Linked DNA regions of Alligator mississippiensis. The protein of the gene in region 4 interacts with the protein of the main gene of each other region in a biochemical or structural test. Links are inferred from orthologs where the notes say so. Each region holds a gene or a part of one and is shown on either strand. Other genes may lie near its edges.

Region 1 (7,839 bases), on a different chromosome or scaffold from region 4:
GACAGTGGCAGACTAATGACTGCAGGATTCCCTCGGCTGGTCTCATGCTCCTTAGAAGTTGCCCTTGCTATCCTTTGCATACAACACAAATTAAAGCTGGGAAGAGGCAGGAACTGGGGATTTTTGTGGTAGATAGCCACTGCTGCTTAAAAGAAGAAACTGGCCTTGGGATGTGTATATGGAAGGCAAGCAACTATGTCCAAGAAATGATGCTTACTTTAGCCCAATTCGCTGATGATGGTTCAGCTTGTGTTCATTTTTCCTTAGATCTAGAAGAAGCCGGACACAAAGATCACTTGCAAAGGAAAGTACTTGAGGAAACAGAAAGCTGCATGGTAAGGGAGGTTCATTTAGAGATTGTTTAAAGAATAGCAGCTTTAGAGAGCGACGTAAAGGATAAGATTCTGCATTGTGTTAACAAGCCATGGCAGCCCCCTCACCCCCAGCAGCAGTACATGGAGGGAAGCACGAAGCTAGCTTCAGAGACAGTTCTCTCCTGGCTCAGAGCTCCTTCGCTCTTATGTGCCCTGAAATACCCCTCTTCCCTGCAAGGGCATGGATTGGGGACACAGCTCTACTCCTCAAAACAACACATCCTGGCAAGTACAAAGCTGCTAAATGTCAGCAGCTTAAGCCATCAGCCTTAAGTAAGGCACTTCCTAAGGCACCCTGACCCATCTTTGCATTACCACACCCTGCGCTGCACTTGCTGAAGCAAAAGGGGTGCTCAAGTCACCTGTCTGCCTGACTGGTCTCAGACTTACCTGGTTCCTGAAGCAGGTTGGTTGGTACATGCACTGCCCTGGCCTCTCAAACAAGATTTCAGGCCTGGGTGCATTGCTTGGAAAACTTCACAGAATTGTTGGGGCTGGAAGGGACCTCTTGGACCACCTAGCGTGACCCCCTGCACGAATGTATTATCTCCCCCTTGATACTACATATGCAGAGCGCATCTTCTATGTACCGACTTAAGCATCCGAATGTCTCTCTCTAGCCACGCTGTTGCTATCACTTATCACTCTGCAGAGGGCAGGTTGTTCACATCATAAATTGCAGGTCTTTCCAAAGTATCTACCACGCAATCAGGGAGATGCGTAGTACAGACTCACCTTCTAGTGTCTTAATTCCTTCATCCACAAACTTCCTGGCAGCCGCAGGACTGAAGAGAGAGAGGACAGCAAAGCACACACAGCATATGCGAGACTGATGCAGCATGCCTGAGCTTGCTGTTTGCCTCTGTGTCCGCCCAAGCCAGTATCGAAACCACCCCTCAGTCAGATTTTGGCACATAATGCCTGTCTGCAATGCTGTGCTTCCAAAAGCAGGTGGCTCTCTAGGAGTTAACATTTTACCTATGCTAGCTAAGAAACTCATGGGAAAAGGATATCCTGGATATGAACCATTTCATATGGGTAGGTCAGTTCCATAAAACATACAGAAAGAAGTACACAAGGAAAAAATCCTTACCCAATGCCACTAACTCGGGTCAGGAAATTGATAGAAGAGCTTGTGTCATCTTGTCGGATCTACAGACAGATATTTCTCATTCACTTGCAAGGCCATGGTAAGCCAAGGTACCTCAGCAAGTTACTGCACTCAAGGTTTGTTACAGTTCAGAGCAAAAAGACAACATTACCTACAAGCGTGCTGCAGTTCACTCAGATCTACATGGAAGGGACCTCAACACAGTGTTCAGAGGGGAGAGCCCTTATGTCAGAATATACTTCCTTCTTGGGCTTGACAATGAATTTATCAAAAATTGGGGGACTGTGTAAAGCCTTAGCTAGAGATGGAAAATCTGACAACAGTTTTAGTTTGGTACAGGGGAAGAAGGGCAATAGGTTGTTAATTTTTGCTGTGCCCTGTACTGGCAAAATACTTAGCCTTATAATATTTTATTATTTGGCAAACTCTCAGGCTTCATAATGTGCATTACTACATACATGGATAGATGGAATTAGGTTTTAAGTGCACTGGAAGATTTGGGACAGCCCAAGTCTGGAACAAAGCAGTTGCCTGGTTCATTTCATCTCAGGACTAGGGTGACAAAGGTATCGCAGGAAGCGTCTACGTCAGACAAATGCCTCACGCATTTGGTGGCAGTAAAAGCTGATCACACCCCATGGTGGTCCCAGGGACGCTAGGTTCTCTCTGCCTGCTCTTTTTACCCATTCCCTTCCTAGTCTCGTTCTCTCCAGGGGCGGAGGAGAGAAAATAAGCGTCAGACAGAATAAACCAAAAGGGCTGACCTTTTCCAGCTTGCGTAGCTTTCCAGTGGCTAAAAACTCATCTATCTTCTCCGCTATTTTGGCCCCGACTCCTTCCTGCAAAGCAAGGGGCAGGGGGAAGGAAAGAAGGCCTGTTTTGATTTTAGTGGTGGCGGGCGACAGAAGGGTCCGGCAGGCGTCAAAGCCTCCCAGCGGTGCCAGGCAGCGGGAGTTGCGATATGACCATCAGCCGCTGCAGCGCGCCTGGAGCGAAGAGGCACCAAAGAGCGCAGCACAGGCGAGGGGCACGCGCAGGTATGGGTCTTTGTGCAGCGCGCGAGCACGGCAGGTGGGGCGGCCGCCCCAGGGCGCAGACACCTACCAGTTTCTTGGCCTCGGCGCCACTGCGGATCTTGCTGGGGTACTTGGCGATGGCGGAGGCCGCCTTCCTGCAGGGAAGCAGATTGCTGGGGAGCGGCCCGGCCCCCGCAGCCCACCCCACCCCGGTCCAGCCCGGCCCGGCCGCACTCACCGGTACGCGTTGTACTTGTGCACGGCGCGGCTCACGTTGCGCTCGTAGTTGGCCAGCTCTGCGGGACCGAGCGGCACCGTCACGGCGCCGCCCGGCCCCGCGCCCTCCCACCCGACCCTGCCCCGCCCCGCGCACCGGTGAGGAAGTCGGTGATGCCCTCGTTGGGCCCCTCCCGCGGCGCCTTGCGCTTGCTCATGGCCCCGGCCGCAGCCCGGTCCGCGCGGAGCGCCCGGCGCGCACCTGCGCACTCCGCCGAGCCTCCTGCCTCGCTCTACGCATGCGCGGCGGCAGGCGCATGCTCAGTAGAACCCGCGCCGGGGAGCAGTGCGAATGCGCCCCATCCTTGAGGGACATGCGCAGCATGTGGGCAAACGGCGCTCCAACCGCCGTGTGCCGGGGCCGTTTGCTTGTAAAAACTGAGGTGTCTCTTTGTTTCAAAAGAAAAAGACATGAGAAAGGTGCGGTTCTAGGGGAGCTTGTCGTCCTTGCTGCAGAGCAGTTGGGGGGTGGGGGTGAAGGGGCAGTGCCGCACTTCCCCTGAGGAGCGATGCAGGGACGTGTGTGGCGAGGATGTGTGCGCACAGGTGTCTGCGGGTACGTGTGGCATCCTTTATTCGACCGCCTGAGTGCTTTTTGGGCGGGTGGGGGGACGTGCCTTGCAAGCTTTTGTGGGGGCAGCCGCAGATGCGCAGGAAGAGCGCCCCAAAACTCGCACGGAAGAGTTTCGCCAACTCCCGGGGCTGGTCTAATCTAATGAAGCGTATCGGGTTGACCCGAGAGCCGGGATGCCAAGCGCGCGTTTCGATTGGCTGCCAGGAGGCGCGTGACGATTGGCGGGGAGGGCTGCGTGGGCGTGGTCAGGGCCATGCCGCTAGTCCTCGCTGTGACTTGCCGGGGGGGGGGGGTCCAGGAGACAGTCCCGCTGCTCCGCAGTCTGATTGGCTGTTGGGATCCTCTTGTGTGGCGATTGGTCCGACTCCGATGCCCAGCAGCCCCATTCGGCTGGCAGGGTGCGGGCCAGGGACGGGAGAGCGGGTCCTTTGCTCGAATCTGCCTATCCGGTGCCTTGCTACCCACATTTGAACGGAATTTCCCTTTTTTACAAGGAAAGCCTCCCCCGCTGTTCGGGAAGCACTGCAAGACGTCACTTCAGTTCGGTTCTAGGGGAGAGCTGGGGGTCCTTGTTGTAAAATAGGAAACTGTTCAGAGTAGAGGTTGATGTGACAGTGTTATTCTTTGTATACAGGCCTCGACGAATTTGAAACTGCGCAGGTATGCATCTAATAACGGGGTGTGCGTAGAACACACTACCTGCCAGAATAAACAGTGGTCCAACTGCAGTCTCGTTCTCTCTCTAAAATAACAGCGCTTTAGGTATTCAAATATCACTACAGTTGGGTCTCAATCTATAATGTTACGTCGACTGCGTGCCGTCTCCGTTAGTAAGTATTAGGGCTGTACGAGTCGGCAGTGATCCGATCCGGCTGCTTCAGATGGCCGTGATCCAATCTGGAGTGCTGGACTGGGTTTCCGCCTCGATCCAGCCAAAGCGGCTCTGAAATTTTGGAGCTGCCTCGGAGATCCGGCCATAGGGTATAATGAGGAATCAGTGAAATATCTATAACTTTGTTGTTTCTTGTCCAATCTGGATGAAACTTGCAGGGATGGTAGCCTCTGATGAGAGCGTGAAACCTGCCAAGTTTCAAGAATATCGGTGCAGCGGTTTGAGGGGAACTGTACCCCAAATTCTTGAAAGCCAAACTCATGTCGCGACTGTATGTCACACCACAGGGGGGTGAAAACTGCAGGGCTGGTAGCTCTTACTGAGGCCACAAAGCCGGCCAAGTTTCAAGGAGATTGGTGCAGGGGTTTGGGGGGAAGTGCACCTCAAGCTGCCGACAAGCAAAACTCGTGCCACGGGTGACACTGCGTGTATTAAGGCACAGCGGGGTGACAGTTCCCCCCCAAACCCCTGCACCGTTCTTGAAACTTGGCAAGCTTTGTGGCCTCAGTAAGAGCTACCACCCCTGCAGTTTTCACCCCGCTATGTTGTAACGCCTACATGTGACATGAGTTTTGTTTTCAAGAATTTGGGGTGCTGTTACTGCCAAACCCCTACACTGATCTTGAAACTCGGCAGGCTTCATCCTCTCTGCGGAGTCTACCACCCAGGAAAATCTCATCCAAATCGGACAAAACCCAACAAAATTATATTTTATTGTTTCCCCATTATACCCTACGGCCAGATCTCCGAGGCGGCTCTGAAGCTCTTCGGTAGTTCCAAACCGCTTTGGGAAGCCTAAGGAGGCCAGCGCTTCGACCTGGATGTGCTGATTCCGACCCCGAAGCATCCGAAGTTTTCTGGATCCGAAGCTCTGTCCAAATCCTCGCACAGCCCTAGTAAGTAAGAAGCCTCACTGCGATAGATGAAATTGTTCGGAGAGGGAGTTGGGTGAGAGAACCGAGTTCACTGATGTGTTTGTGTAGGTGAGGCGCTGCCTGCCAGCTAGGCTTGCATGCAGCGTTACCCTTCAGGCTGTTACGGTACTGAACATAATAGCAGGGCATAGCCCTGCAAATGTATGTCAAATGCATTAGCTGAGGAGCCGTACTATAACCGGCAGGAGCAACGCCAAATTGCTCAAGATTCACTGCCATGTATGCTTCCAGCTTAGTGACAAATGGTAGGTGCAATCTTGAAAGCAGTGAAGAATCAAAAGCCACTTTGTGCATTTGTTGATGCACCTGGTGGTACAGGAAAAACATTCTGCTTCTACACGATTGTTTCAGCAGTGCACTGGGAAGGGAAGATTGCATCGGCTGTGGCATCCAGTGGAATTGCTGCTACCGTGCTTACGGGAGGCAGGACTGTGCACCGAAGGTTCAGGGTACCCCTGAACGTGTTGAAAACCAGCACCTGCAGCATATCAGCCCAGTCTGACTTTGCTGAGCTGATTCGAGAAGCACCTATCATCATCTGTGATGAAGCACCAATGGCTCATCGGTACATGCTGGAGACTAGATCGGATGCTGTGAGATTTACTGCAGACCAATTTACCTTTTAGTGGCAAGGTGATATAGTGTTTGGGGATGATATTCAGCAAATCCTGCCTGTTGTGAAAAATGCCTCAAGGCTACAAATAGTAGAGGCATGCTTCAAGTGATCTGAGTTGTGGAGCCACTTCCAGGTTTTCCAACTTGGTGAGAACATGCAACTATGTAAGGAAGGTTTTGATGCACGAAGTGCAAAATACGCTCAGCAAAGATAGAATGGACATTTCCAAATCTATTGGATAACTATCAAAATCCAGGATGGACATCTGAAAGAGCTATTTTGGCACCGCATTATTCCATTGTACAGGAGATCATCAGTGCTACTGGGGCAAAATTTCCAGGCCAAGAATGGATTTGTATAAGCGCAGGTGCTCTTTCAGAGGATGAACGTGTTATGGCTGTGCCAACTGAGTACCTGAATTCCATGGAGGTGTCAGGTTTGCCTCCACATCAGCTCCACCTTAAGCCTGGGATGCTCATCATGCTTCTGCGAAACCTTGCCCCTAAGGTCTGTGCAGTGGAACGTGGCTGTTGGTGCAATCCATCATCAACAGCAGACTACATGAGGCAAAAATTGTTGGATCAGAAAGAACAGTACTAATTCCTCGGGTAGCACTGAAGCTGTCTGACGACACCTTTCCATTCATGTGGACACGTCTACAGTTCCCTGTGCAGGTGGCATTCAGCATGACCATCAATAAAGCCTTAGGGCAAACATTAAAAAGAGTAGGAGTGTTCCTTCTGGATCTTGTCTTCACTCATGGACAACTATATGTGGCTGCTTCCAGAATCTCCCACCCAGAAATCATTCGATTTGAAGTGACTGCTGACTCGAGTAACAAACCAGGAATGTTGTGTGTACAGAAGTGTTGTAAATCTCTTACAGTAAGGAAGTGTCATATGTTTGAGGATTTTATGTATGCGGAAGTGTTGTGAAGCTGTTGAAGTGCAATAAAATATGATCTCAAGCAAAAATTGGCTCATTGGATTTTCATGCAAGCAACGCTGCACTGGGCATCTAGTATATATTAATATGTGCAGTTAATAGATATGCAAGTGGCACCTTATGCATACATGTAGTATTAAAAAACCCTCAGTGCTGCCCTCCAGTGCCTCACCCTGTGCATTGCAGCCAGGAGAGAAGGGCAGATAAGGGAAATAGCTCAGTGCTGCCTAGGCATGGTTCTCACCGGGCTTTGGGGCCTGGAGATCCTGGCAAAACCCGGCCAGTGCCACAATCCTGAGCTTTGCACTGGGCAGGGTAGCCAGGAAATGCTGCCAGAGAAATAAGAACCTGCCCAGTGCTGCCGTCCTGTGGCACAGACAGGACCTTGGGGCCAGGAGACGAGGGCGGAGAGAGAGAGAGAAAGTGGCTCAGAGCCATGGAGCTGGGACCGGACAGGGATCGCGCTGCTCAGGGCAGACACACGATTCACGAACATGGATCGCAGCAGGGCCTGGATCGCAGTCTCGCGTTTCCATTGGTCAATTTGAGGCGTGAGGTGATTGGGTGGACTGGCCGCATGGGCGGGGTCAGGGCCATTCCACCCATCTTTGCTCTGATTGGCCTCTGCTGGAGGAGGTGGGCCAAGGTGCTCCTTTTCCTTGTTCACATTCTGATTGGCTGCCAGGGCATGGTGGGTGTGTGCCCTCTTCTGTGTGCTGATTGGTCCGACTCTGATCCTCAGCAGCCTTGTGCAGCTGTTTGTCTGTCTGCTGCTGGGTCCAGTGTACCTGGAACCCGCCTCCTGCTGCTGGCCCAGGCACCCGGGTGGTCCTGGAGAGCTGCGGCAGCTCTTCTGGTGCCGTGACGGGTCATATGGGACACTACGTTGCCCATGGTGCCTGGCAGGTGCTCTTGAGGTTGGTGTTAGCAACACAATCTGCGTTGGATTTCTCTTGGAGGGATGAGAAAAGAAGAACCTGTTGCTGTTCAGTAAATACTGCAAGAAACCCTTTGGGTCCTGGAGGCAAGACTGGGCTCCTTGCTGTAAAACTCCAGGCAGGGGGTCAGACTGGAAGATCTACAAGGTCCCTTCCAACCCT
Region 2 (7,318 bases), on a different chromosome or scaffold from region 4:
GTGCCCCCACCCTCACGTGAACTTGCAGCACCCCCCAACTCCCTGCTCCATCCCCACCCCACGCCCCGGGAAGTCCCAGGCTTTTTAAACTAGGCCCAACTGTAAGTTACTTTCAGCCCCTTTCCCCATGTTAGCTCCCATGCCCTGCCTGCATGGTTCTTACGTGTGTGCATGGTCCCTCTCCCCCTGGCCCGGATGCCTGGGTCCCTGGCAGCGCTGGAGCTATCTGAGGAGCAGGATGGGCAGCTGCTTACATGGGAGGCGGTGCAGAAGGAGAACCACCTGGTAGCACTGAGGCGCCAGAAACGTGAGAGTGACACCGAGCGCCTGAAACGCACCTCCCAGAAGTGAGGCGGGGCATTGGGGAGGGGGGCTAGGGAATGGCTGCGGGGAAAGAGGGGTGCAGGGGGGAACCCTAGGCAAGGGGAGACATAGAGAAAGTGGAGGGGGTGGGAAAAGAACAGGGGGTCACTGATGGAGCCTGGGATGGGGTGCAGCAGAAGCTCTGAGGTAGAGGGGCTGGGGGGACCCCTGAGTGACCCCCATTCCCTCCCCCTACACAGGATGGACCAGGCCTTGAAACAGCTGGCTGAGATCCGGGAGTCAGAGCGACACCTCAAATCCCTGGAGAACCAGGTACCCGGGTGGCAGGGGGTGGGGGCTGAAGGACCCCATCTTGGGGGGGGGGGGAGGTTGAGGAGGCAGGAGAGGGGGCTCTCTATGTCAGGGTCTCAGGGGAGAGGGTGCCGGAGGCAGTGGGGGGAGGAGGGTTGGGGGTATAAGGGGCAGAGGGAGGGAGTGAAGTAGGCTTGGGGGCACTGAAGCTCTGCCCCCCCGACCCACCCAACCCCCCCAGATGGAGTACTGTACGCAGGCTCTCTCCTGGGTGGTAGATGCCCTGGCTCAGAGTGACCTAGGGAAGAAGCACCAAGACCCTCCCATGCTCAGAAAGGGTAAGTGACCCCATCCTCCCTGGGCTCCTAGCCCCCCGCCCCCCCACCCCCCGCAGGATGTCCCCTACTCCCCAGTCTCCATCTCCCTCCCCCTTGGATGCAGGCTGCCCCCTCAACCCTGGGACAGGGTCCCCCCATAAGCAACCACCCTACTCCCACCCCAAGAACCAGGCCCCTCGGGGGGTGGGGCAAAAATGAAGGGGTTAATTGGCTCCTTCATATATTAGTGTCCCCCCCCAAGCTGCAATGTGACCACCTCCTGCCTGTCCTAATTCTGTCTGTCTCCCCCCAACCAGAATGACCCACTCCCCCAACTCTGCCTGGACCAGTGAGAAGATGGGAGAAATGAGAACCCAGGTGACCAGGCACCTGGGACCTGCTGGAATCCAGGACAACCTCTGTAACCTCACTGTGAACCCAGGTGTCTGGGTGCTGTGCACTTTCTGAGGGGCTGGAGTTGGAACACCCCCCCCCCCCCCCCCAATCATTGCACTGGGAAGCCAGGAGTCCAGCTACCAGAGACTTTCCCTGTGGGGCTGGCATCCAGGATCCCCACCCCTGTAGACCCAGGTGACTGGGTGCCAAAGGACCTTTCAGAAGGGAGAAGCAGAGGAAGGAGGGAAGTTGGGGTATCCTGCCCCCAGCACTGCCCTCCATCCACTCTGGCAGGAGCCTCAGGATCTTGAATGACTTGAATTCTTTGATTAAATAAATATTGATTGTTGCACACCATGAGAACCAGGCCTGGGGGGCAGGGGCTGGGTGAAGTGGGACCCCCCCCCATGCCAGGATCCTGTGCTGGGAACCTCTGATACCCTGCCACTAGCACCCCTCACCTTGAGAGGCCTAGCAGAAGGGTGCCCTGTGTGCAGGAACCCAGGACTCTGAGCTAGCCTGGGGGCATGAGAAGGCCCCTACAGCGTCCACTTTGCCTCCAACCAAAATCCTCATGTGGTTCTCCCTAGGCTCCAGAGCAGCTGTACACCCCCATGGTCCCCCCAAGGACCCCCTAGACTTTCCCCTGGCCTCAGGGTGCCCTGCTTTGGGGTATCTTCTTCACCTACCACTGCCCCTCCCTGCCTGTGGCACCTACCACTCTGCCTCTCCCTCCCTGGACCCTCTCCCCCATGCTGGTGTGTGCCTAGGGACCCTTTTATAATGAGATGACTGGCTCTGTGGAAGTGGAGAGGGCAGTGGATGTGATACACCTTGACTTCAGCAAGGCTTTTGGTATGGTCCCCCTCAACATTCTCACAGGCAAGCTAAGGAAGTATGGGTTGGTTGGATGAATGGACTGTAGGGTGGATAGAAAACTGTCTGGATCATCAGGCTCAGAGCCTAGTAATCACTGGCTCAATAACTATTTGGAACCTGGCATCAAGTGGAGTGCCCCAGGGGTCAGTCCTGGGGCCAGTTTTGTTCAGTGTCTTCATCAATGACCTGGAAAATGGCATAGAATACACCCTCAGCAAGTTTGCAGATGACAGCAAGCAAGCTGGGGGGAGCAGTAGATACACTGGAGAGTAGGGTTTAGATTTAGAGAAATCTTGACAACTTGGAGGACTGGACCAAAAGAAATCTCATGAGGTTCAATTAGGACAAGTGCAAAGTTCTGCACTTGTACCAGGGCATTGTTCTGTCCTAAGTAGGCAACCAACTGGCTAAGCAGCAGTTTTGCAGAAAAGGAGCTGGGAGTTACAGTGGACAAACTGAGTACGAGTCAACAGTGTTGCAAAGAAGGCTAACAGCATATTGGGCTGCATGAGTAAGAGTGTTGCCAGCAGACTGAATGAAATGATTATTCCCTTCTATTAGGCACTGGTGAGGTACTGTGTCCATTTGTGGGTTCCCCACTACAGAAAGATGTGGACAAATTAGAGAGAGTCCAGTGGAGGGCAACGAAAATGGTTCAGGGGCTGTGGCACATGACTTCTGAGGCTGAGGCAACTGGGCTTATTTAGTCTGGAGAAGAAAAGACGGAGGGGGGGATTTAATAGCAGTCTTCAGCTACCTGAAGAGTGGTTCCAAAGAGAATGGAGCTAGACCGTTCTCAGTCGTCACAGAACAAGGAGCAATGCTCTCAAGTTGCAGCAAGGGAAATTTAGGTTAGATATCAGTAAAACACTGGAACAGGTTGTCTAGAGAGGTTGTAGAATCTCCATCCCTAGTGTAGTTTTTAAGACCCGGCCAGACAAAACTTTGGCTGGGATTTTTTTAAAATATAATTCTATATATACATAGAGTTATATATATACATCCTCTAGCATAAACTTTCTATCACACCTTTAAATCACTTTAAGAAACCATGCACCTGTTGGAATAGATGATCTCCTTAGGTCCCTTATTTTCTATGATTCGGTGACCCCTTCCTCTATTGCAAGGCCCCCTGTCTCCTCCCCAGGCAAACTCTCATGGGCAATCCCATTCTCTGGTTCCCTCAGCCCTTCTCCCATACACCAAGGGCTCTGGGGGCCTCATAGCCACCCCTTACTGAATCTCTCGGCTCTCCAGTGACTTTGGCAGCGCCCTCTGGGCACAACCCATAATTGGCTGAGCCCACAGCTCTACTATCCCCAGCCTGGGCCACAGCACCACCTCTCCATGCTGTCCTGGGCTGCACCAGAGGGTCCCCCAATCCTGGGCAGCACTCACTGGGCACTTGGGATGTGGCAGGTAAGGGACCAGGTACCAGGGCACAGCACTGAGTCATGCAGCGGGACTGACGCCAGCAATGCCCCCCCCCACCAAGCAGAGGGCCGTGTGCCCCACAGACCTCCCCCACCCCGCTAGAGGCTCTGGGCGTCGCCCCCTCCTCCGCCCCTACGAACCAAAATGTCCCGGAACCCTCGGCGCCTGGTCCTGCGCGCGCGCCGGCCGGAAGTGGTTGTGGCACCCGCACCGGAAGTGCCGGCGCTGCAGCGGCGGGAACCTCCGAGGGAGAGAAGCTGCCGCCGCCGCTCCTCCCCACTCCCGGTTACGGACACAGGGGCCACTTCCGTGGTGGTGGGGGGGGGACTGCAATAGGTGTGACACTCCCCGCCCACCACACCCCGGCCGTGGGGGCAGCTGAGGTCCCTCCTCCTAGGGCCCCCCTGCAGCCCCCCCAGGGGCGGATCAGGTCCCCCAGGGTGAAACTGCCTTGTGGCACTAGGGGCTGGGGCCAACTGGGGGGAGGGGGCTTCCCCAGGGATTCACGGTGCTAAGGTGGGGATAGGGGTGATGAGGAGGAGGAGGGGCAGAGCCATGGTGGGTCTGACTTTTTGGGGGGGGCGGGAAACAATGGGGGAGGGGATGGGGATGATGGGGGGGGTCGGCGGTGGGGGAGGGGTTTGGGACAGCGGGGAGGAGCAAGGGAATGGGGCTGGCTGTTTTGGGGTGGGGCAGGAGGTGGGGCTGATGGAGAGGCAGGGGGAGATGGGACTGGAGGTGCCATCCCTCACCTCCTGCCCAGTGCCTCTCCTTCCACCTGCAGCCATGGCTTGCCACCTTGTGAGCCAGGACGGGAAGCACGACCCCGTGCCCCTGCCCAACGGCATTGCCGTGGTGCTGGGCCGTGGCCCCGAGACCCGTGTGGCCGACAAGAAGTGCTCCCGGAAGCAAGGTGAGCCGGGCCCCCCCTCCCCCCAACGATTCCCTCTACTCTCCATGCACTGTGTGTAACTTCCCCCAACCCAGGTACAGCCCTCCCAAACCTGCTTGCTCCCCCATCCCAGACCATCTTGTCTGGGGAGTGGCAGGGGGGCTAGGGTGTCTGGATTTGGCAGCATGGGGGTTGCTTGTTCTGATTCCCTCCTTGCTGTTTTCTTTTGCAGTGGAGCTGCTGGCTGACTACAAACAGCAGGCAGTGAGAGTCACTCAGGTAAAGGGTGAAGTCAGGCACAGGGGCCAAGAGGCAGGTTTGTAGAGGAGTTGTTTGTACAGGGACCCCATGCCTGACACTGAGATGCAGCTGGTTCCAGGGTGGAGTGTGTCTGGGACTACTTATGCAGAGTTCTCTTTCCTGGTGCTGAGATGCAGCTGGCTCTGGGTTGGGGCACATCAGGGATCTCTTACCCAGTACTGAGATGTACTTGCCTTTGGGGTAGAACATGTTAGGGCCTGGTTATACAGAGCGCCCTCTCCTGGTTTTGGGATGCGGCTGCCTTTGGAGTGAGCACCTTGAAAGCTGGTGCATCTTGCTTGGCACTAAGATGCAGCCATTTCTTGGATTGGGGCACGTGGTGGGCTATTTATACAGGGACCTTTCATTTGGTACTGAGCTGCAGCTGCCTCTGGGGTGGGGGCACCTTGAGGGATGGTTATTCAGTTATCCCTTGCTCAGTGCTGAATTGCAGGTCCCTCTGAGGTGGAACAAGTTGTGGGCTACTTATGTGGCCACCCCTCCCCTTGGGCTAAGATGCAGCCACCTCTTGGGTGGTCTCCCCTAATGCACCCCCCCTTTGTTGCAGCTGGGTGTAAATCCCACCTCAGTGGACAACCAGGAGCTGGGGCAGGGCAAGAGCGCCACCCTGAGGGAGGGGCAGACACTATGGCTGGTAAACCGCAGCTACCCCCATGGCCTGCGCTTCCTGGCCCTGGCCCACTCCCCCCACAAGACCCTGCTGGACTTCTTCAGCTCCAAGCGCCAGCCCCAGCTAGAGGGGGACAAAGATGAGGATGAGGAGCATCCCCACAAGAGACTGAAGGCTCCCAGCCCCTCTGAGGAGGATGAGGAGGAGGATGATATTGTAGCCACCAAACTGCATCAGCTGCAGGACACAGCTGCCCAGGCCCAGGGAGCAAAGAGTGGGGCTGCCCCCCAACCCTTGGGGGGGTCCTGGAGCCTGCCCCCCCACCCCCAGGACTCCTGGGAGCAACACAGCAAGCTGCTGGTATTCACTAAGGAGGGTGTCATGCCCAGCACCAAGGTACTCTCTGGTGGAAAGGGACAGGACACCTCTGGGAGCTGAGGGATTGGGGTTGTGGGGAGAGTGGTGAACTTCTCTGCTCCTCCCCAACTCCAGGCCCTTGATTCCCTGTCTCTGCAGGTTGCTGGGTTTGACCTGGATGGAACCATCATCACCACTCAGTCAGGAAAGGTTTTCCCTACCAGTCCGGACGACTGGAGGTAAGGACGGGTTGGGAGTGAGGGGCACCATGAAGCTGGGGGGGGGGGGGGGGGGGGAGTTGAGGGCTGGGACTGCAGTAGGGGACCCCAACAGAGCTGGGGGAAACCCAGGAGTGGGCTGGCTGGGGGCAGGTGTGGGGAGCATTAACAGGGTTTTGTGGGGCAGGAAGTCAGGGGCAGAGTGGGAGACGTTGACAGGGTTGTGTAGAATGAGATGGAGAAGGAACTTAGGAGTTCTGGGGAAGAGCTAGGCACTGGCAGGGCTGTGGGCAGGGGGCTGTGGGTCAGGAGCGAGGGACCCCAGCAGTTTCCAGCGTGTGAGGTCTTGGGATAACTCCTGTCTCTTCCCTCCCCCTCTCTCCACCCCCCAAGGATCCTGTACCCTGAGGTCCCCCAGAAGCTGAAGCAACTGCAGAGAGAAGGGTATAAGGTATTCCCCCCCACCTTGGCCCCTCCCCCCATTCCCTCCCCCAGCCTCTCCACTGACCCCCACATTACTGTCTCCCCAGATCATCATCTTCACCAACCAGCTGGGGATCAGCCGAGGCCGCCTGCGCCCCGAAGTCTTCAAGGCCAAAGCGGAGGCAGTGGTGGAGCAGCTGGGGCTGCCCATACAGGTGAGCAGGGCTGGGGTTGGAACCTGGGATGTGGGGGGTTGGGGGGCTAGGGGGTTGGACCCTGTCTAGCTCCTGCCCCCCTAGTGCTCAAAGATGCCCCCAGTGCTGTGTGTAGTCCCTGATGGCCAGCTCAGATTTATAGATTCTAAGGCTGGAAGGGACCTCGGAAGATCATCGGGTCCAGCCCCCCTGCACCAAGCAGGACAGATGACTGGGGGTCAGGTGACCCCAGCAAGGTGACCATCCAGTCTCCTCTTGAAAATTTCCAGGGTAGATGATTGCACCACCTCTGACGGGAGATTATTACACAGTCTGGACACCCTGACTGTGAAGAAGTTTTTCCTAATGTTGAGCCTGAATCGGTCTTCCAGGAGCTTGTGGCCATTACTTCTAGTTTTCCCCTTGGTTGCCTTGGTGAACAGTTGCTCACCAAGCCCTAGATGTATTCTGCTAGTGTAGCAGTAAGCTGCTATCAGGTTCCCTTTCAGCCTTCTTTTCTTCAGGGTGAAGAGTCCCAGATCCCTCAGCCTTTCCTTGTATGGCTTGCCATGTAATACCCTGATCATACAGATGTCTCCTCTTTGGCTTCTCTCAAGCTTGTCCATGTCTGTTGAAGTGTGGTACCCAGAACTGGACACAGT
Region 3 (7,605 bases), on a different chromosome or scaffold from region 4:
CCAGGATCTCCTGCTTCTTCCAAGAATTGTATAGTACAGGGGTAAAGTTTATTCACAATATGCAGAACCTGCCCCGGCTTCATTTTCACTTCTTCATCTTTGCCAATATTCACTAAATCAATGCTGGCTGGATTCACACCAATCTTTGGAGAAGAAAGCAAACAGAGTGCTGGAATTGACTTAAATAGTTTAGCACTCTAAATTCATCAGAACCTATCATCCCCAGAATATCACTGTCCTTAGAATGCAAAGAAGAAATAAAGTAGTATTTCCTCTGCTAGTGGATTTAAGGCTAGTGCCTTTGATTGATGTGTGGACATACAGAAGGTTTGTCTATACAAAGGAAATAGGGTGTTTTAATAATGTCAGCTAACCCCAGAGGGGAGGCCTCACATTGCCTTTAACTTGTTAAGATGTTGTAAAAGTGTTAAGCTCTGTCCACATTCAAACATATGTATTCGTTAAAATATTGCTTAGCTAGTAAAGATCTACTCTCCCAGTCTAAAGCTGCAAGCAGCAGAAGCAAGGAGCAACAACAGTCTTAAGTAGACCTGACTCATTTAAAGGATATTATCCAATGCGAGGAACAGAATGAAAGTTCCCTACCTCTACAGGACACAAAAGGAGTGCTACAGCATAAGCCTACCAACCAGAACACATTATGCACAGAGTAGATCACAAGGTCTGTGACAGGGCTACATCACCAGCTGCGATTTGTAAAGTGTAAACACAATGATAACACCCAATAAACAACACTCCACTTCCATGGGACAGCATACCTGTTTGATCCAGACATAGCCTTTATTACAGTCTGCTTTTAGCTGTACTAGAAAGAAAAAAAAAAGCATCAGAAACCTAGTGGCCAGACCCTCTTCTTTGAGTACTGCTGAAGCCAGTTTTTACAGAGCATCTGATCTAGGCCACACATTTCATGATGCAAGTTCTGTTGTTACTTCAGCTTAATAGGTATAAGCAGATGCATACTTCCTGCTAAAGGGTCTGATTCAGTCAAATCCTATACATTTTGCTTCAGTTAATTTTCAACAAGGGCCAACACATCTACCGAGAAACCCTGATAGGCATAAAATAATTTGCATTCAGCTGGGATATAAGATTCTCCTTTAGAGAGTGACATATTTTTCAAAAATTCTGGATAACAAAGCTGGGTCTGAAAATATCTATATACGAGTCTGTTGCTAAAATTTCTGTCCCCATTCAAAACAGAAGTCTAAATAAATATGATGGCAATATCTGAACTTATTAGTTGGATATTCAGTAACACACCAGAAATAAACTCACAGTATTGGGGTTTTTTGTTTTTTAAAATAAGAAAAGTATGATTTTCTGAGTCATACCAACAAAATTACTTCACAATAACACTACTGACTGCTGAACTTCAAGATGAGAAAATTGACTGAAGTCATCCTGGACATCCATTCTTATGTGAATTATTCATTATCCAAAAGCTAAACCTGTTTTAAAAAAATGTAGAATATACAGAGAAACAAGTTTGCAGACAGCATCACCTGGTATTTTATAGCTCTAATAGAGGATACAATATCAAGGAATAGAATCTTTTAAAGAAGCCCACAGAATTTAATGAAGAATGATATCCCTTCCACAGAACATGCGTAGCTTGTTAATTTCAATTAATAAAAAGCACTTATAGGCATCTCTAGAACATGAACAACTTATAAAGATAAAACATGTTCACAAGAACCTGGAAAGAATGTCACACTCTAAAGTCCCTCCATACCCTTCATCAAATCTATTAAACCATATAGATCATATACACAGCTGTCATCAAGGTCAATTTCTTTCCCTTCTGGTTGCAGGGAGGCTGCTTCCCTTCCTGCTGGTCAGGTTATAGGAGATTATCTAGGGTCCTACAAGGATGATGGATGCATGAGATAGGCAACACTATGTTCAGAAAGGAGAGAGATGACCCTTTGGCTTATGGTAATAGGCTTAGATTTATTCTACAATGACAAGAAACCAGATCGGAAACCTACATCTGCACCTCAGGGTCTCGTAGGCATGTCAATATTTCTGGGACTACTAGGTCACCATCAAAGTAGCAGTTACAAATACACTGCAGCTCTAACTTACCCTGCTGCCGTGAACATTTTTTGTCTGTTATCTCCGTCTCCGGGCCGCGCCCTATCACTACTGTTTTTAAGTGAGGCAGCTTGATTCTTGGGCAGCATTTATCTCTCCTCACCAGCCAACACACAAGCATTATTGCACTGCTGAACACAACAGAGAGAGAGAACATATCGTTATACTTGCATACAGTGTGTTGCATTCAGACAGCAATTGTGATGCAGGGGCCAGAGGGCAGGATCAGATGCCAGCCATTCTTAGTTCTTTTACCAAGCCACTAGTAAATTGTGGCATCTTGGCTGCTTCATTTAATATTGCTGTAACAGTTTCCCCACCCATAAAACAGGGACAACAGCAACCTATACCACAGAGATATTTCAAGGCCTGCTTAATGTTTGTGTTGTACCTTATCACCTTCCAAGCAAAAAGGTGCTAGTGTGGAATGTACTTTTAACACACACCAAGTAGATTTATATTAAAATATACATTTATACACCAAAAGGCATAAGTTTTGAAACAGGAATATCCCCAATGAGTAATAAAGCACTAGAATTTACTATGCACATTTGATACCCGCCATTTGTGGATTTACCACCATGGACAATCCTGTAAGTGCCAACACAGTCTTGTTAGGGTTTGTCCACACTGAGCAAAGGGCTTCCCTTCGGTGCAATTTTCTCCACTTTAAATAAGTGAATGTTACCTACACCAAAGGCTGGGTGGGGGAGGAAGGTGCTGTTGCTGCAGGAGATATCCTTATGCCCCCCGTCACTGCAACTGGCTCAGTTGCACAGAATGTACCACTGCCAAATGGCACAGATGATGGCATTCAGTGGCAGGTCGGGGTGGGGATTCATGAAGGCAGCTGCAGGGCAGAGGGAGGGGGGGGAGGTGCCAGAGGGTCCCTAGACCCAGAGACTACTGGCAGAGCTGATACCTCCTTCCGCAGCAGAGGTGAGGGGGCATGAGGCTGATGACCAGGACCACTGGGATGCAGCCCCCACACTGCCTCTGTTGGTGCCCCGCGGCAGGGGAAGAAAGCAAAGGGGAACCGCCCCAGAGAGGGCAGCCCCCAGCAGCAGCTGGATCACAAGCAGCACCCGGCTGGAGTTAGAAACTTGCCAACCCCTGATCTTAAGGGGCCGGGGCTGGAGCCGGCCCTGCAGCGCGGTCTGGGCCTCCAGCACCTCCCCTTGCCAAACTCTGGATCGGCCCCTGCTCACCCCGCCCGCCCTCGGCTCCAGGCAGCGCGACACCGGCCCAGCTGCCGCCGCGCTGTCATGGGGGGGGGCGCTGAGGGCCGCCGGCCGGGCCTCCCCCTTCCCTCCCGGCGTCGCAAAGCGCCCGGCTCCAGCTGCCCGGGGCGGCCCAGGCAGGCACGAGGACCCGCCCACACGGTGTCCCCAGCTCGCCTCCCGGCCCGGGGCCACCCCACCCCACCACGCCGCGCCGCGCCGCGCCGGCGCGGGGGACAACAGCGCGAGACGCCGCTCACTCACCTACGTAACACCCAAACACGCCCCGTCCCGCCCACTGCGTCGCGGCCAATAGGTGACCCGTACGATACCGGCGACATTGAGCAACCCCGCCCACAAACGTCATTGCTGGGAGAGCGGGGCTTCCTGCCGCGCTTGCGCTGTCATGCGCCTTCCCCGCCCCGCCCTGCAGGGGGCGGTGTGTGTGGGGGGGCGAGGGAGATGTCTGGCGTCCGCTGCTCCAGGGCACGCTGGTGCTAGGGGCTCCTCGGGCGCAGGCCCCGGCCCTGGCCCTGTTGCACAGCGGAAGCGTCCCGGTTCCTAACCCTCCTCCTTAACGTGGGCAACGCAGCCAGAGCCGGACCATGGCCTTCCGGTAATGGCGATGCCAGCACTCCCAGCTACTTCCACTTTTGTGGCCCAGAAAAAGCCTGAAATCGCACGTTCTTCAACAAAAGAAAAGCTGCCCAGTCGGGACTGACAGATGAAATGTCTGTTCTGAAGTCAACACGTCCTTAGCAGAGCTGTCTTCTCCGTATCACCCCACAAACGCGCCTAGAAAACAGTCTAGCTCCATCCTCCCTGTAACTGCCCTTCAGGTGGTTACAGGCTGCTATCAAATCCCCTCTCAGTCTGTACCCTAAACCCAGTCCCTCAGCTGCTCCTCAAAAGTCATGTGCTCCAACCCCCAAACCATTTTTGTTGCCCTCTGATGGACTCTCTCCAACTTGTCCACATCCTTTCTTCTATAGTGGAGGACCCAGAACTGGACACAGTACTCCAGATGTAGCCTCATTAGCTCAGAACAGTGGAATAATTACTTCCCTCATTCTGCTGGCACCACTCCTACCCATGTAGCCCAGCATACTGTTAGCCTTCATGGCAACGGGGGCATTGTTGACTCATATCCAGCTTATTGTCCACTGTAACCCTCGGGTCTTTTGCGGCAGAGCTGCTGCTTAGCCAGTTGGTCCCAAGCCTGTAGCTGCATGGGGTTCTGTCTTAAGTGAAGGACTTTGTCCTTGTTCTTATTGAACCTCATGAGATTTCTTTTGGCCCAATTCTCTAATTTGTCTAGGTAACTCTGAATGGCCCAGATAAAGCCCTACCCTCCAGTGTATCTGCTACCCCCCCCCCCCCCCCGCTAGCTTGCTAACATCTGCGAACTTGCTAAAGGTGCGCCCCATCCCATCTTCCAGATAGTTAATGAAGATATTGAACAAATCCCACCCTAGGACCAACCCCTGGCACACTCCACTTGATACCGGCTGCCAACTAGACATCAAGTCACTGACCACTACCCATTGAGCTGGACAATTCAGCCTTCTCTCCACCTTACAGTCCATTCATCCAACCCACACTTCCTCAGCTTACTTGCAAGAATTCTGTGGAGAACCATATTGCTAAAGTCAAGGTATATCACGTCCACTGCTTTCCCCAAATCCACAGAGCCAGTTATCTCATCAGAGAAGGCAATCAGATTGGTCAGGCATGACTTGCCCTTGGTGAACCCATGCTGATTGTTCCTGATCACCTTCTCCTCCAAGTGTTTAAAAATATATTTCTTGGCAACTTGTTCCATGATTTTTCTGGGGACTGAGATAAGGCTGTCTGGTCTGCAGTTCCCTGGATCCTTCATCTTCCTTTTCTTAAAGATGGGCACTATATTTGCTCTTTTCCAGTCATCCATGACCTCCCCCGATCACCACGGGTTTTCAAAGATAATGCCCAGCAGCTCTGTGGTCACATCAGCCAACTCCCTTAGCGCCCTTGGATGCTTTGAATCTGGACCCATTGACTAGTACACATCCAGCTTTTCTAAATAGTCCCTGACCTGGTCTTTCATCACTGAGAGCTGCTCACCTTCTCCCCAAAGTGCTGCCCAGTGTAGTAGTCTGGGAGCTGACCTTGCCTGTGAAGACTAGGGCAAAAAAAAGGCATTGAGCCTGCTGGGCACTCAATAAAGTCCTGAACTGCTTCCTACCTCCCTGTGTGTTGTGGGGGGAAGGCCAGTGGATGGGAAGCTCAGCCAGGCAGGGCAGGGAGGGCCACCCCGCCTTCACCCGGTGCAAAGGCCATGGGGCACACAGCCCAGGGGTGCGCAGGTGAGCAGGCATGGGCACAGGTGACCATGGTGTCCCTCCCCTACCCCAGCCCTCCTTTCTGCATGAGAGGCCAAGGTGGGAGTCTTGGACTAGACAGGTACCATCTCTTCCAAATGCATCCCTTGCCCTCCATGTAGCCTCCCCTACTAATTTCAACATCAAGGTATTATGCACCAGTCTACCGAACAGAGAAGACGTCAGAGGGTGTAAGCACTAGCAAGGGGCCTGGAAGATTACACTCTTCCCTGTTTTTGATAAGCCATTACTTCAGTAATGAAAACAGATCTACAATGCTTTTTCTATTAATACAATAATTTGTCAATCAGTGCAGTAATGAGCAATTGGTTTTTCATCTGCACTTATATTTTGATTTTTTTCTTCTAGCTAACCACTTTGTAAGAGCCATGACTACCCACTAACTCTGAAAACAGGTACAAGACCTTTTCAGTGTCCGTGATTTTTGTAGGCAAACCTTGCCTCAACATCGCTAACATGAAGGACTGTGACGCATGTAAAATTTCAATGTATGCTTGAGCATGTTTCTTAAAATGATCAACTTGATTCCCCTGATTCTGACACCTTGTGTGAAAATTTCAAGAACAAGACACTGGCTACTACCAAGGATATCTTTGGGACAACAAAGAAAAAAACCCTGACTGGGAGCAGTGTCTGAACATCTGCTGCTCCCAGTCATAGAAAAGAAAAAGCAAGCTTGCCTAACTCTACTTCAACAACCAACTAAGTCCAGAAATCTCAAATTCAAAGAGACTAAGGCTGCAGTCCAGAAAGCCACCAGAGAATGTGCCCAGAAGCATTTGCAAAATCTGTTAGGGTAGCTTTGTTATATTTAGCCTTTGTTGGACCTGCTTGAGTTGTGAATTACAGTATTATTTGAACTTTTCTTTTTACATTCTATATCTGTATTGTCAGCTGTAGCCTTGGGCTCACTTCCAGGTTATGTTCTTGACTATCAGTATGAGAAGGTAGCTTGTATTCTAGTGTGATCAACATAGGTGTGTAGGATGTGGGCTTTGTTACTAGCTTAAATCAACTGAACTTGGCACTAGTCAACTGAATCAGAGGGATGGGATATGTTAATGAAAGATAATAAGAGGGGACCAACTGGACACTGCCCGACTGCAGAGCCCTTGGGATTTCCGGTTTTCATGGATGGACCAAATTAGGAGGCCAGGGACATGCCCACATTAAGACCAAAGACCAAATTAAGATGTGATGGGTGTGTTGGAACAAAGGAATATGCTGACAGGATAGAATGTGGACTGTATGATGACCACAAGGAAACCAATCAATGGTACCTGGGAATGAAGCATCTCAGAGGAGTGGAGTTAAATAAAAAGCATAAAAAGGGGCAACACATAAATAAGTGTGTGTAATTGTCTATCCAACAACATCTGGACCATGCCAGACAGAAGACCACCTAGACAACCACCCTCTACTTTCAGGACTGCTGATTGCCTATAAGACCTGTGGTGGGGAACATCTTGGATTGGGTGAAACCATTGATCTAAATGTTTTTCTCTCTATATATATAAATTACCAATATAATATTTCATATATTAATTAAAAGTTAGATTTTAGTTAAGTTGAAGTTGTGTGTTGCCTATGCCATGCTGGGTTGGTTGAGCTTCAGCAATTCTTTACTGCCATCTGCTGGGCAGATGGGTGAGGTAACAGATCTGTGCAAAAAGATTCAGATCTGCTTTGAAAGAGGGGACCTTTGTGGTACCTATGATGGAATTAAACAGGCACTTGGTCCAACTTGTAAAAAGACTGCAAACCTGAAAGTGAAAGATGGTCCTATCCTGACTGACAAGCAAGAACAGCTTGACCAATGGACTGAGCATTAAAAGAACTCTATGCAAAGGATGCCATTATCTGTGATACTGCCTTAGCTGCCATCC
Region 4 (6,893 bases):
GGGGCCGTAGGGGTGGGGGTGGGGGTGGGGGTGGAGGTAGGGGTAGGGGTGGGGGCGGGGGTGGAGCTGAGGTGGAGGGAGGGGGCAGGGCTGCACTCTGCCTTGCTGATGACCTCAGTGAAGACCCCGCTGACCTCATAGACACCGACAGCGCTGACGCAGGCACTACGGGTGGCGCAGCCCCCCAAGGCATAGCTGTAGTTGTAGCTGCCTGGAAGGGAGACACAGGAGGGGTTGGGGGGGGCCAAGGGGACCCCAGTCCCAGGATTGGGGCCCTGGAAGACCCCTTATACTTTCTCCCCTGCCCCCCCCAGCAGCATATTGGCAAGCAAAGGGTTAATGCCCCCAAATCCCCCCAAAAGAGGGGATCTCCCCCCCATCCCCCAAGACAGGAGGTGGGGGTTGGGGGATGGACACCTGGGTTCTCTGGGAGGGGAGTGAGGCCTGGGGAGGATCGCTGTGGGGGTGGGGGGAGCTGGGAGCCTGGACTCCTGGCTTCTCACCGACGTGGATGGCACCAGCTACGTAGAGGCACTGGTCCTCGTGGTCCCGGCATGGGACCCTCTCCTTGGGCTTGCAGGCAGGGCCTTCAACAGCACAGCCTGGGCACCAGCGCCCGGTCAGGACCCCGGGGGCCAGCGGCACTGGAACGGACGGACAGGCGGGGTCAGGAGGGCTCAGGGTAGGGGTCGCCTGGCTTCTCTCCAGCTCTGGGAGTTAAGTGGGGTCGCGGGGGCGGGGGGGGGAATCAGTGCTGGGAGCCCAGATGCCTGGGTTCTGGGAGGGGCATGTGGGTTGTGGGGTGAGAGTGTGGGGTGGCAACGAGTACCCCAGACACCTGGGTCCTCCTCAGCTCTGCATGGGGGGCTGAAAGCAGGGGGTGCTGGGATCCCAGACACTTGGGTCTCCCGTCAGCTCCTGGATGGGAGTGGGGCTGGGGGGTGAGCAGGGGGGGTCTGGGAGCCCGAACACCTGGGGTCTGGGGGGATTCAGGGGCTGGATCCCAGATGCCTGAGTTCCCCGCTGGCTCCAGAGAACGGGGGGTCCATACATTTCACGGCGCCCCGGTTGCAGCCATCATGGGAGCAGCACACGGAGCCCCCCCGCAGGCGCACGCCGGCACCGGCACTGAGCGTGGACGAGCGCGGGGGGCAGAGTGTCCTCGCTGTGCAGCCCTTGAAGGTGTCCACCTTCCCCGGCGTCCCTGGGTGGGCACAGACAGGAGGGACTCGGCATTGCCCTGTCCCCAAACCCCCCCACCCAGGCATCACGGAGTTAAAACCGGCATGAAAATATATACAGTGCCTGGTGTGGCCGGATCCTGGGGGGAAGCGGTATCGACATCACCCAGATCCCCCTGGAACCCCCGGACCACCCTGATCTCTGCCTGGGGGGTCTGTACAGTGCACAAAGCACCCCGATCCTGGCTTGGGGGGGTCCAGACAGCCCCCACCCGCCAATCCCAGCCTGGGGAGCCCCAATCCTGGCCCAACTCACCCCCAATGTGGGTCTCCGAGGTCAGGGTGAAGCAGGCATCCTGGAGGGGAGCACAAGGCACCAGGGGCCCCGTGCATGTGAGGCCAGTGCCGTTGCAGCGATGGCAGCTCAGGGGGGAGCCTGAGGGGGCAGCAAGGGGTGAAAGTGGGGGCCCGGGAGCCCAGACTCCTGGGTTCTCTGGGAGGGGACTAGGGACTAGGGGTGAGAGAGAAGGGGGGGCCCGGACGCCTGGATTCTTCAAGAGGAGAGTGGAGGCTTGGGGGCGAGAGCGGGGGTCTGGCTGCCCGGATGCCTGGGCCCTCTCCAGCTCTCAGGGGGGCGGTGGGGGGGGAGTCAGGGCTTTGAGAGTGCCCAGACACCGGTGTTCTCCAGAAGGGGAGCAGGGTGCTTTGGGGCAGGGGTCCCCGGGAACCCGGGCACCTGGGTTCCCTCCCAGGCAGTGGGTGGAGGTCTCACCTGCACCCAGCAGGGCAGCAAGCAGCCCGAGTGCCAGGGGGGACAGCATGATGGCACTGGGGGCCCCAAGCTGCCCAGAGGCACTTATAGCCCCTGGAGCAGGGGGGTGGATCCGGGAAGCATCCGGGTGCAGGGCAGGAGCTGGTGACCCCCCACCCCCGCTGGAGCCCAGCCAGGTGCAGAGGTTGGCAGCCGGGACGCCTGGGTTCTCTGCCCGGTCCGGGGCGAGCGGGGAGGTGCGGGCTGGCTGGGGGCCCACGCACCTGCCAGGCTTGGCCATGTGTGCAGCTATTCAGGAGAGAACCCAGGTGTCCTGGCTGCCGGCCTGACGCACACCCCGCCCCAGAGGTGGGGGGAACCCAGGCTACTGGGATCCCAGCTCCACTGCCGTGCAAGAGCTGGAAGGAACCCAGGCGTCCGGGATCCCAGCTCCCCCTGCTCCCACCTGTTAGGCTTCCGAGCTGGAAGGAACACAGGCACGGAGCTCCCAGCCGCCCCTGCTCTCCTCCCACTCCACCCAAGAGCTGGAAGGAAGCCTTGCTCCGGGATCCTAGCTCCCCCGATCTCCTCTGCAGGCTCCGGAGGTGGGGGGAACCCAGGCTTCCAGGGTCCCTGCTCCCCGCCTCCACGGCAGGGCCAGTACCCTGGGGGGCCCCAATCCCCTAGGTTGCGCAGGGGGGTTTTGGGCTGGGAGCCCAGACACTTGGGTTCTCTCCGGAGGGGGGACAGAGCGGAGGGGTCAGAGCCAGGGGACCCGCTGGTGCACCCAGAGGTGAAGCTGGGGAGGGGGCAGGAGGAGGCGTGCAGGGGCTAATGGGTTCGGAGCCCAGACACCTGGGTTCTGGGGGCGGGGGGGGGGGGTGGAATGAGGTCAAGGGGAGTTAGGAGCACAGATACTTGGGTACTTGGGGGAGTGAGGTCAAGGGGAGTTAGGAGTGCAGATGCCTGGGTTATGGAGGGGAGTGAGGTCGAGGGGAGTTAGGAGTGTGGACACTTGGGTTCTCGGGGGGAGTGGAGTCGAGGGGAGTTAGGAGCGTGGACGCCTGGGTTCTTGGGGGAGAGTGAGGTCAAGGGGGGTTAGGAGCACGGACGCCTGGGTTCTCGGGGGGAGTGGAGTCGAGGGGAGTTAGGAGCGTGGATGCCTGAGTTCTCGGGGAGTGAGGTCGAGGGGAGTTAGGAGTGCAGACGCCTGGGTACTCGGGTGGGGAGTGGAGTCGAGAGCAGTTAGGAGCGTGGATACGTGGTTTTTCAGGGAAGGGAGTGAGGTCGAGGAGAGTTAGGAGTGCAGACGCCTGGGTTCTCTGGGGGAAAGTGGGGTGGAGGGGAGTTAGGAGCGCTGCCGCCTGGGTACTCGGGAGGGGAGTGAGGTCAAGGGAAGTTAGGAGCACGGACGCCTGGGTTCTCGGGGGGGGGAGTGGGGTCGAGGGGAGTTAGGAGTGCGGACACCTGGGTACTCAGGGGGAGTGGAGTCGAGAGAAGATAAGAGCCCAAGCACCTGGGTTCTCGGGGGGGGGAGTGGGGTCAAGGGGAGTTAGGAGCGTGGACGTCTGGGTTCTCGGGGGGAGGAGTGGGGTCGAGGGGAGGGGAGTGGGGTCGAGGGGAGTTAGGAGTGCGGACGCCTAGGTTCTCGCGGGGGAGTGGGGTCGAGGGGAGTTAGGAGCGCCTCCACCTCGGTACTGTGGGGGGAAGTGGGCTGGAGGGGAGTTAGGAGCCCGGACACCTGGGGTCATGGGGGTGGTGGGGTCGAGGGGAGTTAGGAGAGCCGACACCTGGGTACTCGGGGAGGGGGTGAGGTCTAGGGGAGTTAGGAGCCCGGATGCCTGGGTACTCGGGGGGTGGGGGAGTGAGGCCTAGAGGTGAGAGCAGCGGGGGCTGGGAGCCAGGACTCCTGGGTCCCCTCCAGTTGTGGCGGGGGAGTCATTGGTTGCTTGTGAACATCTGTACACTCAAGCTAGGACCGCAGCGCCGGCTGCACGATGACGTCACGGTCCCCCGGCCCCGCTCATGACGTCAGGCACGTGTGATGACGTAACGCCATGGGGCCGCTGTCAGGTCTACTCTGACGTAGCGGGGCGTCGAGATGGCATCACAGGCAGGCGGAGGGACGAGCGCGGCCTTTAGGGAGGGGGCGGGGGAGCAGTGACATCACTTCATACCCTAAAGACGTCACCCAGCAGTGCGCGTGCGCATGCGCAGTAGCTGCACCTGCTAAGAGGCATGCGCAGTGTCGAGGCGGGACAAGTGGCGCCCGCGGGAAAGGCCTTGCGCATGCGGACGGACCGCTGGAGGAACTGGCGGAGCTTGGTTCATGCGCACGGGCCCGGAATCGGTCGCCGCGTCTGCGCAGAGCGCGACGAAGGACCCGGGCAACCATAGAGTTCCCAAAAGAGGCCCCGTAGCGGGCTTCGCTTCCGGGCTGGGCCGGAGTTTTGGTTCCGGGGCGGGAGGCGGAGGCGCCGACGGGACGGGACGGGACGGGACGGGACGATGCCGGAGATCGCGGTGCGGCACGTGGTGTCCGCCAGCAGCGCCGACCCGGTGCGGGGGAGAGGGGAAGTCCGGGGGGGAGAGGCCATTCTAGGGGAGCGTGGGGGTGGGAGGGACCATTTTTGCATGCTGAGGGAGTGTGGGTGAGACCATTCCAGGGGGTACTGGGTGAGGCCATTCTTGGTGGGGGAGGGAATCTGGAAGGGACCATTCAGGGGTGCTGCAGGGGGGTGTGACTTGGGAGAGATCATTTGCGGGGAACTGGAAGGGACCATTCTAGAGGGCTGTTGGGGATTGCTGGGGGACGGGGATAATTGGAAGAGACCATTCCGGGAGGGACCTTCGGGGGGGGGGGGCAGTGGTAGAGACCATTATGGCATGGGAGCTGGGGGGATGCTAAGAGGGGTGAGAGATCATTGAGGGGGATTGGAGGCAGCCGTGTCAGGGGAGGGGGCGTGTAGTGGCCATGGATGAAACCATTCTAGGGCAGTGGGATCTGGAGAAGACCACTGGGGGGTGGCAGGGACTATTTTAGGTGTTTTTGGAGCGGATCATTTGAAGTGGGGGGTGCTGGAAGAAACCCTGGTGAGGGGAGATACTTTTTGGAGGAAGGGGGAGCTTGGGAGGGGCCATTCTAAGGGAATGTGGAGAAACCATGCTGGTGGGATTTTGAAGGGAGTGGGAGGGACCATTGTGGGAGTCATGGGGGGAGGTCATGCTTGAAGCACATAGAGTGGGAGAATTTATTTTGAGTTGTAACATGTGGGGGGCGGGGGTGGGACTTGGGGTCGTGCCCATCATACTTACCCCCCACTTACGCCCCAGACCCACTGCGCTGAGAACCTGCTCCGACCCGACACCTACCGCAAGTGGAAAGCGGCACAGCCCGGAGAGAAGCAGATCTCGGTCATTCTGCAAGTGAGGACCCCCCAGCCCTGGGTTCCCTCTGGCTCTGGGAGGGGACGCCGGGGGGGTGAAGCGGGGAGTGCTGGGAGCTTGGACACCTGGGTTCTCCAGGGGGGGAACAGTGCAGGCAGCGACAGCCATCCCCTCCATCCCGGTAACCAAACCGTCTCCCCTTCGCCCCACCACCGGGCAGTTTGAGAAGGAGGAGCAGATCCATGGCATTGACATCGGGAATGAGGGCTCGGCCTTCGTGGAGGTGCTAGTTGGCAGCTCGGCCTCCCCCAGCGAGCAGGACTATGAGGTGAGCCCCCCTCCAGCTCCCCACATGAGAAAAGGGAATTGGGCAGGCACTGGGCACCTAAGGAACGGCGGCTGGCTGGGAGTTGTAGTCCTCGCTGGGATTGCAGTTCACCTTGTTTTCTAATGTGGGGGGGAGCCTGTCTTGGTCACCCCCCCCCCCATCACAAGCCTTTTCACCCTATAGGAACTGGACTGGAAGAAGGGGTTCAGATCTTGTTTCCTCCCCATGAGCCTCATTTCCCCACCTTTTTCAATAGCATAAAGGGAGAGCTGCTCCCCCCCCCCCCCCCCCAGCACACACACTTAGGTGCTGGATGGGAGGGGCTTGTGGCTGACTACACCCCCCCCCCAGGTGCTCCTGGTGACCTCGTCCTTCATGTCCCCGAGCGAGAGCCGCAGCGGGTCCAACCTGCACCGTGTGCGGCTCTTTGGGCCTGACAAGCTGGTGCGGGCAGCGGCCGAGCGGCGCTGGGACCGGGTCAAGATCATTTGCAGCCAGCCCTACAGCAAGGTGGGCCCTGCTCCAACTGGCTGGCTCCATCCCCCAACCCGGCCGGTGCCTCTCACTCCTAACCCGCAGCCCCCTGCCCTGACCCAGCCCTGCCAGTGCCCCTCACTACCGACCCGCAGCCCCCACCTGCTCCTCTGTCAGGACGCCTGGGTCCCATCCTTCCTGGAGGAAGCAGGGTGGGGCTGGGAACCCAGACGCCTGGCTTCTTTCCTGATGGCTTGTTTTCTCCCTCTGCCCCCATCCCTCGCAACCCCAGACCCTGGCATACGGCCTGTCCTTTGTGAGGTTCCACTCGCCACCGGACAAGGACAGCCAATCGAAAGTGGCCTCCCCGGTGAGTGACAGCCTCTTGGCCCCACCCTAGCCCTGCTGGTGCCCCTCACTCCTGACTTGCAGCTCTCTGCCCTGCCAGCGTCCCTCACTCCCAACCCACACCCCTTGCAGAAGCTGACCAAATTTGGCCAGTTCAAGGTGAAGGACGAGGATGGCATCTCCGGGTCCCTTAGGCCAGGGGCCTTGTTCTTCAGCCGTGCCAGCAAGGCCCCACCCCCTGACAGCGGTAGGTACCAGGGGAGGGGTTCTGGGACCCCAGATGCCTGGGTTCTCTCCAGCTCTGGGAAGGGTGCAGGGGCTGTGGGGTGAGAGAAGAGGGTTCCAAGCACCTGGGTTCTCTCTCCACAGCCCCCCAAGCCGAAGCCCCTGGACCCAGCTATGCTGCAGCCACACTCCAGGCCAG

Evidence for each region.
Region 1: the proteins of XRCC1 (region 4) and POLB form a complex in vitro, tested with the Homo sapiens proteins (5 studies listed by BioGRID, with this or other methods). The link is inferred for Alligator mississippiensis from reciprocal best matches to the Homo sapiens genes XRCC1 and POLB.
Region 2: the proteins of XRCC1 (region 4) and PNKP form a complex in vitro, tested with the Homo sapiens proteins (3 studies listed by BioGRID and IntAct, with this or other methods). The link is inferred for Alligator mississippiensis from reciprocal best matches to the Homo sapiens genes XRCC1 and PNKP.
Region 3: the proteins of XRCC1 (region 4) and APTX form a complex in vitro, tested with the Homo sapiens proteins (2 studies listed by BioGRID). The link is inferred for Alligator mississippiensis from reciprocal best matches to the Homo sapiens genes XRCC1 and APTX.

Annotation. Positions count from the first base shown.
Region 1 is NC_081830.1:17,181,773-17,189,611, reverse strand, and holds the start of POLB (DNA polymerase beta), read right to left. Parts: upstream 3,001-7,839; 5' UTR 2,936-3,000; coding exon 2,875-2,935; intron 2,798-2,874; coding exon 2,740-2,797; intron 2,657-2,739; coding exon 2,590-2,656; intron 2,325-2,589; coding exon 2,250-2,324; intron 1,527-2,249; coding exon 1,468-1,526; intron 1,160-1,467; coding exon 1,110-1,159; intron 270-1,109; coding exon 218-269; intron 1-217.
Region 2 is NC_081828.1:39,808,184-39,815,501, reverse strand, and holds the start of PNKP (bifunctional polynucleotide phosphatase/kinase), read left to right. Parts: upstream 1-4,308; 5' UTR 4,309-4,349; coding exon 4,350-4,554; intron 4,555-4,765; coding exon 4,766-4,812; intron 4,813-5,401; coding exon 5,402-5,860; intron 5,861-5,980; coding exon 5,981-6,060; intron 6,061-6,432; coding exon 6,433-6,490; intron 6,491-6,569; coding exon 6,570-6,677; intron 6,678-7,318. Other genes in the region: TRPM4 (transient receptor potential cation channel subfamily M member 4), read left to right, coding at 215-347, 564-636, 857-953, 1,250-1,254. UniProt on the Homo sapiens protein: Plays a key role in the repair of DNA damage, functioning as part of both the non-homologous end-joining (NHEJ) and base excision repair (BER) pathways.
Region 3 is NC_081826.1:152,796,984-152,804,588, reverse strand, and holds the start of APTX (aprataxin), read right to left. Parts: upstream 3,018-7,605; 5' UTR 2,933-3,017; coding exon 2,811-2,932; intron 2,250-2,810; coding exon 2,110-2,249; intron 827-2,109; coding exon 780-826; intron 144-779; coding exon 1-143. UniProt on the Homo sapiens protein: DNA-binding protein involved in single-strand DNA break repair, double-strand DNA break repair and base excision repair.
Region 4 is NC_081838.1:29,416,633-29,423,525, reverse strand, and holds the start of XRCC1 (DNA repair protein XRCC1), read left to right. Parts: upstream 1-3,882; 5' UTR 3,883-4,011; coding exon of another isoform or gene 4,012-4,068; 5' UTR 4,069-4,233; coding exon of another isoform or gene 4,234-4,263; 5' UTR 4,264-4,440; coding exon 4,441-4,491; intron 4,492-5,265; coding exon 5,266-5,358; intron 5,359-5,539; coding exon 5,540-5,647; intron 5,648-5,998; coding exon 5,999-6,157; intron 6,158-6,413; coding exon 6,414-6,491; intron 6,492-6,601; coding exon 6,602-6,716; intron 6,717-6,838; coding exon 6,839-6,893. Other genes in the region: phospholipase A2 inhibitor and Ly6/PLAUR domain-containing protein-like, read right to left, coding at 1-211, 504-644, 1,052-1,204, 1,498-1,617, 2,399-2,615, 4,012-4,068, 4,234-4,263. UniProt on the Homo sapiens protein: Scaffold protein involved in DNA single-strand break repair by mediating the assembly of DNA break repair protein complexes. Negatively regulates ADP-ribosyltransferase activity of PARP1 during base-excision repair in order to prevent excessive PARP1 activity.